Linked DNA regions of Saccharomyces cerevisiae S288C. The main gene of each other region encodes a partner of the protein of the gene in region 2 in a complex. Each region holds a gene or a part of one and is shown on either strand. Other genes may lie near its edges. The genes, in order: MDV1 and FIS1. A codon is read from its position in the direction of its gene.

Region 1 (4,908 bases), on a different chromosome or scaffold from region 2:
ATTCAAGGATTAAATCGCAGCTATCAACAACCAAAAGAGAAATTCACTTGGATAAAAACTGAAATAATAAAAGAAAAAATTAAAGAGAAGAGTATAAAACTGTTAAAAATTACCGGCAAAGGTAATATTGCTGATTTACTAACAAAACCAGTATCAGCATCTGATTTTAAAAGATTTATACAAGTATTAAAAAATAAAATAACATCACAGGATATTTTGGCCTCAACAGACTATTGATAATTAATTAATGAAGTTCTAAACACACAATGAATATCTGTTGAAGTACAATAATATATCTTTAAGGGAGCATGTTGGAACGAGAGTAATTAATAGTGACATGAGTTGCTATGGTAACAATCTAATGCTTACATCGTATATTAATGTACAACTCGTATACGTTTAAGTGTGATTGCGCCTATTGCAGAAGGAATGTTAAACGAGAAGCTCAGACAATACTGAAGCTGTGTTAAAGACCTATTAGTTGAACATGTTATGGTAGGTACATATATGAGGAATATGAGTCGTCACATCAATGTATAGTAACTACCGGAATCACTATTATATTGGTCATAATTAATATGACCAATCGGCGTGTGTTTTATATACCTCTCTTATTTAGTATAAGAAGATCAGTACTCACTTCTTCATTAATACTAATTTTTAACCTCTAATTATCAACATATCAATATATTATTGAAGATTGGGTGAATTTTGAGATAATTGTTGGGATTCCATTTTTAATAAGGCAATAATATTAGGTATGTAGATATACTAGAAGTTCTCCTCCAGGATTTAGGAATCCATAAAAGGAAATCTGCAATTCTACACAATTCTATAAATATTATTATCATCATTTTATATGTTAATATTCATTGATCCTATTACATTATCAATCCTTGCGTTTCAGCTTCCACTAATTTAGATGACTATTTCTCATCATTTGCGTCATCTTCTAACACCGTATATGATAATATACTAGTAACGTAAATACTAGTTAGTAGATGATAGTTGATTTTTATTCCAACAATTATCATATACGGTGTTAAGATGATGACATAAGTTATGAGAAGCTGTCATCGAAGTTAGAGGAAGCTGAAGTGCAAGGATTGATAATGTAATAGGATAATGAAACATATAAAACGGAATGAGGAATAATCGTAATATTAGTATGTAGAAATATAGATTCCATTTTGAGGATTCCTATATCCTCGAGGAGAACTTCTAGTATATTCTGTATACCTAATATTATACCCTCTATCAACAACAGGATTCCAACAATTATTTCAAAATCCACCCATATCTCAGATTTCACATCAGTATTGATTAAAATATTAATTGCTACCAGTTCTAATAAATCTAATGTTTACATCATATAGTAATATATCTTTTGAGAAATGTGACTGGCGTTATACAGAAACCGAATTACACGTTTTAAATACTAATTATTAAAATTTATCCTGATAAGTTGATCTTTATTTCCGTACAGCACAACCGATAGAGGAGATGTTTAAAGTGTTTAAGCTCACTTTATAGGGTGAAACACATTTTGACGACCGTAAAAGGTCATTTGATTTGGTATTGAGGTCGAGAAAATATTTTCAAATAGTGAAGGATACATTAAACACGCTCACAAAACAACATAAAAATCCGTGATAGTTTAATGGTCAGAATGGGCGCTTGTCGCGTGCCAGATCGGGGTTCAATTCCCCGTCGCGGAGATTTTTTTTGGCCCTTGATGACTGTTCTGGTACAATTTCCACCTTGAATGAGGGTATAAGATACCGATGATATATATTCAGACTATTTCTACGACACAGAAAAACAATCGACCAAGCCGTCCTTGAACATGCTGCAGAACTTCCTTTTTTTTATTTTTTTTGGCTCATCTACGTAATCCTATTATCTTTTATTAAATTTTGAAGCTATGAGTTTCTTTCCAGCGACTTGGAACCAATAGTTGACAGTGAGTGCATACTTGAGTATTTTCCCCCTACATTGTACAGTCCTCCTCAGACCTGGTATCCCTGTTTAATGTGGTCGCTCATCGGACTTTTCCGTCCGATAGGAATTCGCTCAACTTTGACAGGCGGAACTACTTTCACATCGATTTTCTCAGGAAAGACGGCGTAAACAAGAGAAGAAATTAACTTTCTACAGAAAGTACAACCATATAAACCCTTCGTAGAGCTCCAATTAGTAGCAAATAATGACAAATAATGTCAGTGAACGACCAAATAACTCATATAGGAAAAACATTGTCCACAACGGCTTCCGCTTTTTTAAACTACCAAAAATCGAACAGCAACACTCAAGATGTACTGACCAATAATGGGCCTTATAAGAATTTATTATCAAATACCGTCAACAATGCGAGCTCAACTTCATACTTTTACAAGAGGACTGAACACGGTCGCTTTGTAAAAAATGCATCTAACACTTTTGAGGATATTTACTCCAAGACAAGAAGGGGCGATGTATTCAGGAACAAGTTCACAGACAACAAAACATGCTTCAGAATGCTCACGTACATAAGTGATGATTTGTTGAACGAGATCCCAACTAAGGAAGGTCTCAAAAGTGATGCAGATGGCAAGCTTCTAACCGAAGGAGGCGAAAATGAAAATCTCAGGAAGAACGCATCCAAAAAAGAAACATCGCTGTTTCAGGGCTTTAAAAGCTACCTACCAATAGCGGAGCTTGCCATTGAAAACACTGAAAGATTAAACTATGATACAAATGGTACAAGCGGTACGGTTGGTGCGAAAGATGTTATGTCTAAAACAAATGAGCGAGATGAAATTCACACAGAGCTTCCTAACTTCCAAGATTCATTTCTCATACCGCCTGGGGTAGAAACTAAAAAAATAAGCTCCTCTTATTCTCCTAGTGCATTAAAAAGTTTTTCTCAAACTCTTGTAAATAGTTTAGAGTTTTTAAATATTCAGAAAAATTCTACGTTATCCGAAATAAGAGACATTGAAGTTGAAGTTGAGAATCTGAGACAAAAGAAAGAGAAACTGTTGGGTAAAATTGCGAACATAGAGCAAAATCAATTACTATTGGAAGACAACCTCAAACAGATTGATGATAGGTTGGACTTTTTAGAAGAGTACGGATTGGAGGTGATCGAAGCTAATAGCGACGAAAATGCAGAAGATGATGGTATGAGTGAGCGAAAGGCCCTTAAAAATGATGCTATAAGAAATGAGGGTGTCACCACAGAGAGCATATCATCAGAGGCTTCTAATCTACCTCCAAGGAGAAGGCAACAACTTCGAGACGATAACTCATTGAATAGATTAGGTGCCTTTTATAGCAAATCCAAAAAAAGACACAGAAAAAGCTTCCCAACATTCCAGCAGCTTTACGAGCCAGGAACAAAAATTGGCTCTATAATGTCCACTCACGATGATTTCCTCACTTGCCTAGATTTTGATGCGCCCTTTGGTACCTTATGTACAGCCGGATATCTTGATCACACGGTAAAAATTTGGGATTTATCCAAACAAAACAAAATTGGAGAACTAGCAGGACATCTTGCTACAATTAATTGTATGCAAATCAATCGTGACTACGGAACTCTTGTTACTGGTGGTAGAGATGCGGCTTTAAAATTATGGAATTTGAATTTAGCTCAACAACTTTACCAGGAAACGCAAAATCTTACCTCTCCTACAAATCATATTGATTCTCCATGTGTTCATACATTTGAGGCGCATACAGATGAGGTTACTGCATTATCATTAGATCCTAGTTTCTTGGTGAGTGGTTCACAGGATAGAACAATTAGGCAATGGGACTTACGTTCCGGGAAGTGCTTGCAAACCATTGATCTGAGCTTTGCAAATGTCTTAACAACATCCACTAATGTCGATTTATCAAAGAGCACACTTCTTACTCAAAGAAATGAGAGGCCTAGTATAGGTGCACTACAAAGTTTTGATGCAGCGCTAGCAACGGGTACAAAAGATGGTGTTGTAAGGCTATGGGATTTAAGATCCGGAAAGGTGATTCGTACTTTGAAAGGGCATACAGATGCCATAACGTCATTAAAATTTGATTCCGCGTGCCTGGTCACAGGTTCATACGACAGAACAGTTAGAATCTGGGACTTAAGAACTGGGTTGTTGAATAAGTTTCATGCGTACAGTGCGCCAGTTCTTTCGTTAGATCTCTTCCAAGAGAACGCTGCAGTCGTTGTCGCAGACGAACCAAGTGTCCAGATATACGATAGCGAAAAGGATGAAAGCTGGTCTTGCGTCGAACAAGGTAACGAGACTAGCGTTAGTACCGTTAAGTATAAAGAAAATTACATGGTTGAGGGTCGTGAAAATGGGGACGTAAATATTTGGGCCGTATGATAGGCATTGCATTGCAATCAAGTCAACCCATTTGAAGAAAAATAAATATCGAGTGCATATGTGAATAGCTGCTCGCTCAGATATATATAAATAAATATTCGTTCTGGAATGTAAATAAAGTATCGTCAATACCTTGGATGGTTTATCAGCGAAATCGGTGCTGTAGATGTTGCCCTGTCATATTACTACAGATGTCTTGGAAGCAATCACCATACCTGCATTATCCTTACCCGGAAAAAGAAAACTTTCGTGAATAATGATTAATATTTAAGTGGCGACTTTTTCATCCTTGCTATTGAAAAAAAAAAAAATGAATAATTGTTATTAAGCGTTAGCAGATGCCAAATTGTCGAAATGATTTCAAATACAGAGAATTAGCCGCAAATATTAAGTAGTACCTGAATCACGAGACATACAACTCGGAAAAATGAACTTTGGAAGCCAAACACCTACAATTGTGGTTCTAAAAGAGGGAACAGACGCATCTCAAGGTAAAGGTCAAATCATCTCTAATATCAATGCCTGTGTTGCAGTCCAAGAGGCATTG
Region 2 (2,906 bases):
CTGGGTTTGGTGTTGCCAAAAAGGACACGAAAGATGGAGATGCAACTACCAGTACTGAAAGTTTACCAGCCTCTGACAGCAAAACAAAGAAGCCATTTGCATTTGGTTCAGGTTTATCATTTGGCAGCGGCTTCAACATACTGAAAAACAAAACAGAAAATAACTCTGAAAGTGAAAAGAAAGCTACTGATGTTGACAAAGATAAAGTCCATAGTGGATCTGAACAACTAGCGAATGCCTCAGAAGATACAAAAGACAAACCAAAACCCCTCAAATTGCAGAAACAGGAAGTCAAGTCTGGTGAAGAGTCTGAGGAGTGCATATATCAAGTCAATGCGAAGCTGTACCAACTTTCCAACATAAAAGAAGGCTGGAAGGAAAGAGGTGTTGGTATCATCAAAATCAATAAAAGTAAGGACGACGTCGAGAAGACGCGTATTGTTATGAGGTCTCGTGGTATCTTAAAAGTCATTTTAAACATCCAACTGGTCAAGGGGTTCACTGTGCAAAAAGGATTTACAGGTTCTTTGCAAAGCGAAAAATTCATAAGATTACTAGCAGTAGATGATAACGGTGATCCTGCACAGTACGCCATAAAGACTGGTAAGAAGGAAACCACGGATGAATTGTATAACATTATAGTTAAATCCGTTCCTAAATAAGTAAAGAGAAATAACGTTAAAAATAAATCAAAGATAAAAACAAATCAGTTTTGTTTAACAAATGCTACACTACATATGGTCGCACCCTGGACCCCGCCAAATTGGAAAACAGGGTATTTTATTGTTTTCCACATTTTCAAATTATCAGTCTCTATGATCTTTACTAGTTCATCTTGTGTGAAATTACAAGAAGTGATCAAGAAAATACCGTCTTTTTTCAAAATCCTTTCCACTACTCCGGCGTATACATCGACTACATCAAGTTTACCGTTGATCTTCATGCCACTCAATGAAATGGCATCTAGGGTCCCTTTATCCAACACAATGTCATACTTTCCCGGCTTCCAGTCACCACTAAAGATGTCTGCTTGCTGGAAACTGATGAAATTGTCAACACCGGTGGCCTCGGCTATATTACTAGCGAGTTTGACGCTTTCCTCAGAATAGTCTATCCCGACCAGTTTCCCTTGGAATTCCGTTTGATGCAGTTCAAATAACATGTGTCCATTACCTGTACCGAGGTCTACAACAGAAGCATTCTCAGAAATTCTGTACGCACCAATGTTATCTACCAGAAAATCAATCATCTTTTGTTCAGCATCGCTATCGCTAAACCAACAGTCCCCGGTATCCTGCGGATTCCGCCTGAAATTCTCCAGCTCCAGGGCATACAGTTCATCCCAGTATTTTTTCGTACCAAGTTTCGAAGTGCTCAAATCTGCCGTGCCCTGCATCTGTACTACCTTTTCGGGTTGAGTTCGTTCCATAATACCGTTCTTAAGAGCTGAGCTCATCGATTTTTTTTCACTTCTTTTCATGAACCAATCTTTTTGCGCATTTATGCCGGAACACCGCAAGCGGGCTAGGCTGGACCCCTTTCAAAGCAAAGCTGCCATTGCCACTATTCTGCACAGAAGTTATCATATACCTTGCGTAAAAACGGCACATAGAAGCACAGATCAGAGCACAGCCATACAACATAAGTATGACCAAAGTAGATTTTTGGCCAACTCTTAAGGACGCATACGAACCACTCTATCCGCAGCAGCTGGAGATTCTGCGCCAGCAAGTCGTCTCCGAGGGGGGGCCCACCGCTACCATACAGTCAAGGTTTAACTACGCATGGGGGCTGATCAAATCCACTGACGTGAATGACGAAAGGCTTGGTGTGAAAATCCTCACAGACATTTACAAAGAGGCCGAGTCCCGTAGACGAGAATGCCTATATTATCTGACCATAGGTTGCTACAAACTCGGTGAATACTCTATGGCGAAGAGATATGTAGACACTTTATTTGAGCATGAGCGTAATAACAAGCAGGTGGGCGCTTTGAAGAGTATGGTAGAGGATAAGATCCAGAAGGAAACACTCAAGGGTGTTGTCGTCGCTGGAGGCGTACTAGCCGGCGCTGTGGCCGTGGCTAGTTTCTTCTTAAGAAACAAGAGAAGGTAACAAGCACATAAAAAATCAGCACATACGTACATACATAAGAATGAATCGCACGCACGCGTAAACATTTATCATTTAATCTTCAGTTGTTAGATAAAAAAAAAAAGAAAAGAAAAGAAAGTGAAGGCTTGTTTCAGTTTGAACTAGGTAGCAGAGCAAGCCCTCGTTCTTGGCTGCTAATTTTCCTAAAGTAGTAAAAAAAGCCAAGTTATCTGCCTACGGTTGTCACAGCAACATTGCGTGCCGTTGTTCTTTTGTTTTTTTTTTTTTTTTTTTTTCGTGGTTGTCGCAGCAACGACACCTAGGCGCTGCTCAAAGGGGCAAAAACCCGGTTGCCATGGCGAGGACCAAACGACAAGATGGGAAAAAAACAATAGTCTATTGTTAAATCGTAATACTGTATTGTGAGATGCTGACGCGTTTCGTTTTTCGTGTCAGCGTTCTTTATATTGTTTCGTGTTCTGCTGCAAAACGTATATAAACGCACTGCTATTTTGCCTTCTTTTGCCTTCTTCCTTGCCTTTCTCTCATCTCATATCCAAGTTGAAATAAATATGACAAGCAAGAATAGCAGCAGCAATAAATCAAATACTCCCACACAAATGTACGTTATTAAAAGAGACGGCCGCAAAGAGCCCGTTCAATTCGATAAAATTACCTCCCGTATCACCCGTTTGTCATACGGTTTAGACCCAAACCGTATTGATGCTGTTAAGGTAACCCAACGTATTATTTCTGGTGTGTACTCCGGTGTTACTACCGTTGAGCTGGACAATCTTGCAGCTGAAACATGT

What was found.
Region 1: the proteins of FIS1 (region 2) and MDV1 are in contact, whole or in part, in a crystal structure (PDB 3UUX), measured with the Saccharomyces cerevisiae proteins. Residues at the interface, in NP_012199.3 of Saccharomyces cerevisiae: Val4 (codon at 1,657), Asp5 (codon at 1,660), Phe6 (codon at 1,663), Pro8 (codon at 1,669), Asp12 (codon at 1,681), Glu15 (codon at 1,690), Leu17 (codon at 1,696), Gln21 (codon at 1,708), Ile24 (codon at 1,717), Leu25 (codon at 1,720), Gln28 (codon at 1,729), Ala37 (codon at 1,756), Thr38 (codon at 1,759), Ile39 (codon at 1,762), Gln40 (codon at 1,765), Ser41 (codon at 1,768), Phe43 (codon at 1,774), Asn44 (codon at 1,777), Trp47 (codon at 1,786), Lys51 (codon at 1,798), Arg59 (codon at 1,822), Val62 (codon at 1,831), Lys63 (codon at 1,834), Thr66 (codon at 1,843), Tyr69 (codon at 1,852), Lys70 (codon at 1,855), Ala72 (codon at 1,861), Glu73 (codon at 1,864), Ser74 (codon at 1,867), Arg75 (codon at 1,870); in NP_012423.1 of Saccharomyces cerevisiae: Asn95 (codon at 2,499), Lys96 (codon at 2,502), Phe99 (codon at 2,511), Arg100 (codon at 2,514), Leu102 (codon at 2,520), Thr103 (codon at 2,523), Tyr104 (codon at 2,526), Ile105 (codon at 2,529), Ser106 (codon at 2,532), Asp108 (codon at 2,538), Leu109 (codon at 2,541), Asn111 (codon at 2,547), Glu112 (codon at 2,550), Ile113 (codon at 2,553), Pro114 (codon at 2,556), Glu145 (codon at 2,649), Thr146 (codon at 2,652), Ser147 (codon at 2,655), Leu148 (codon at 2,658), Phe149 (codon at 2,661), Gln150 (codon at 2,664), Gly151 (codon at 2,667), Phe152 (codon at 2,670), Lys153 (codon at 2,673), Tyr155 (codon at 2,679), Leu156 (codon at 2,682), Ala159 (codon at 2,691), Gln243 (codon at 2,943), Ser246 (codon at 2,952), Ser249 (codon at 2,961).

Annotation. Positions count from the first base shown.
Region 1 is NC_001142.9:203,089-207,996, forward strand, and holds MDV1 (Mdv1p), read left to right. Parts: upstream 1-2,216; coding exon 2,217-4,361; downstream 4,362-4,908. Other genes in the region: chaperonin-containing T-complex subunit CCT7, read left to right, coding at 4,789-4,908. UniProt on the Saccharomyces cerevisiae protein: Involved in mitochondrial fission. Has a partially redundant function to CAF4 in acting as an adapter protein, binding to FIS1 on the mitochondrial outer membrane and recruiting the dynamin-like GTPase DNM1 to form mitochondrial fission complexes.
Region 2 is NC_001141.2:240,517-243,422, reverse strand, and holds FIS1 (Fis1p), read left to right. Parts: upstream 1-1,647; coding exon 1,648-2,115; downstream 2,116-2,906. Other genes in the region: YRB2 (Yrb2p), read left to right, coding at 1-662; EFM4 (Efm4p), read right to left, coding at 707-1,396; ribonucleotide-diphosphate reductase subunit RNR3, read left to right, coding at 2,715-2,906. UniProt on the Saccharomyces cerevisiae protein: Has a role in mitochondrial fission. Has a role in outer membrane fission but not matrix separation. Required for targeting MDV1 to the mitochondria.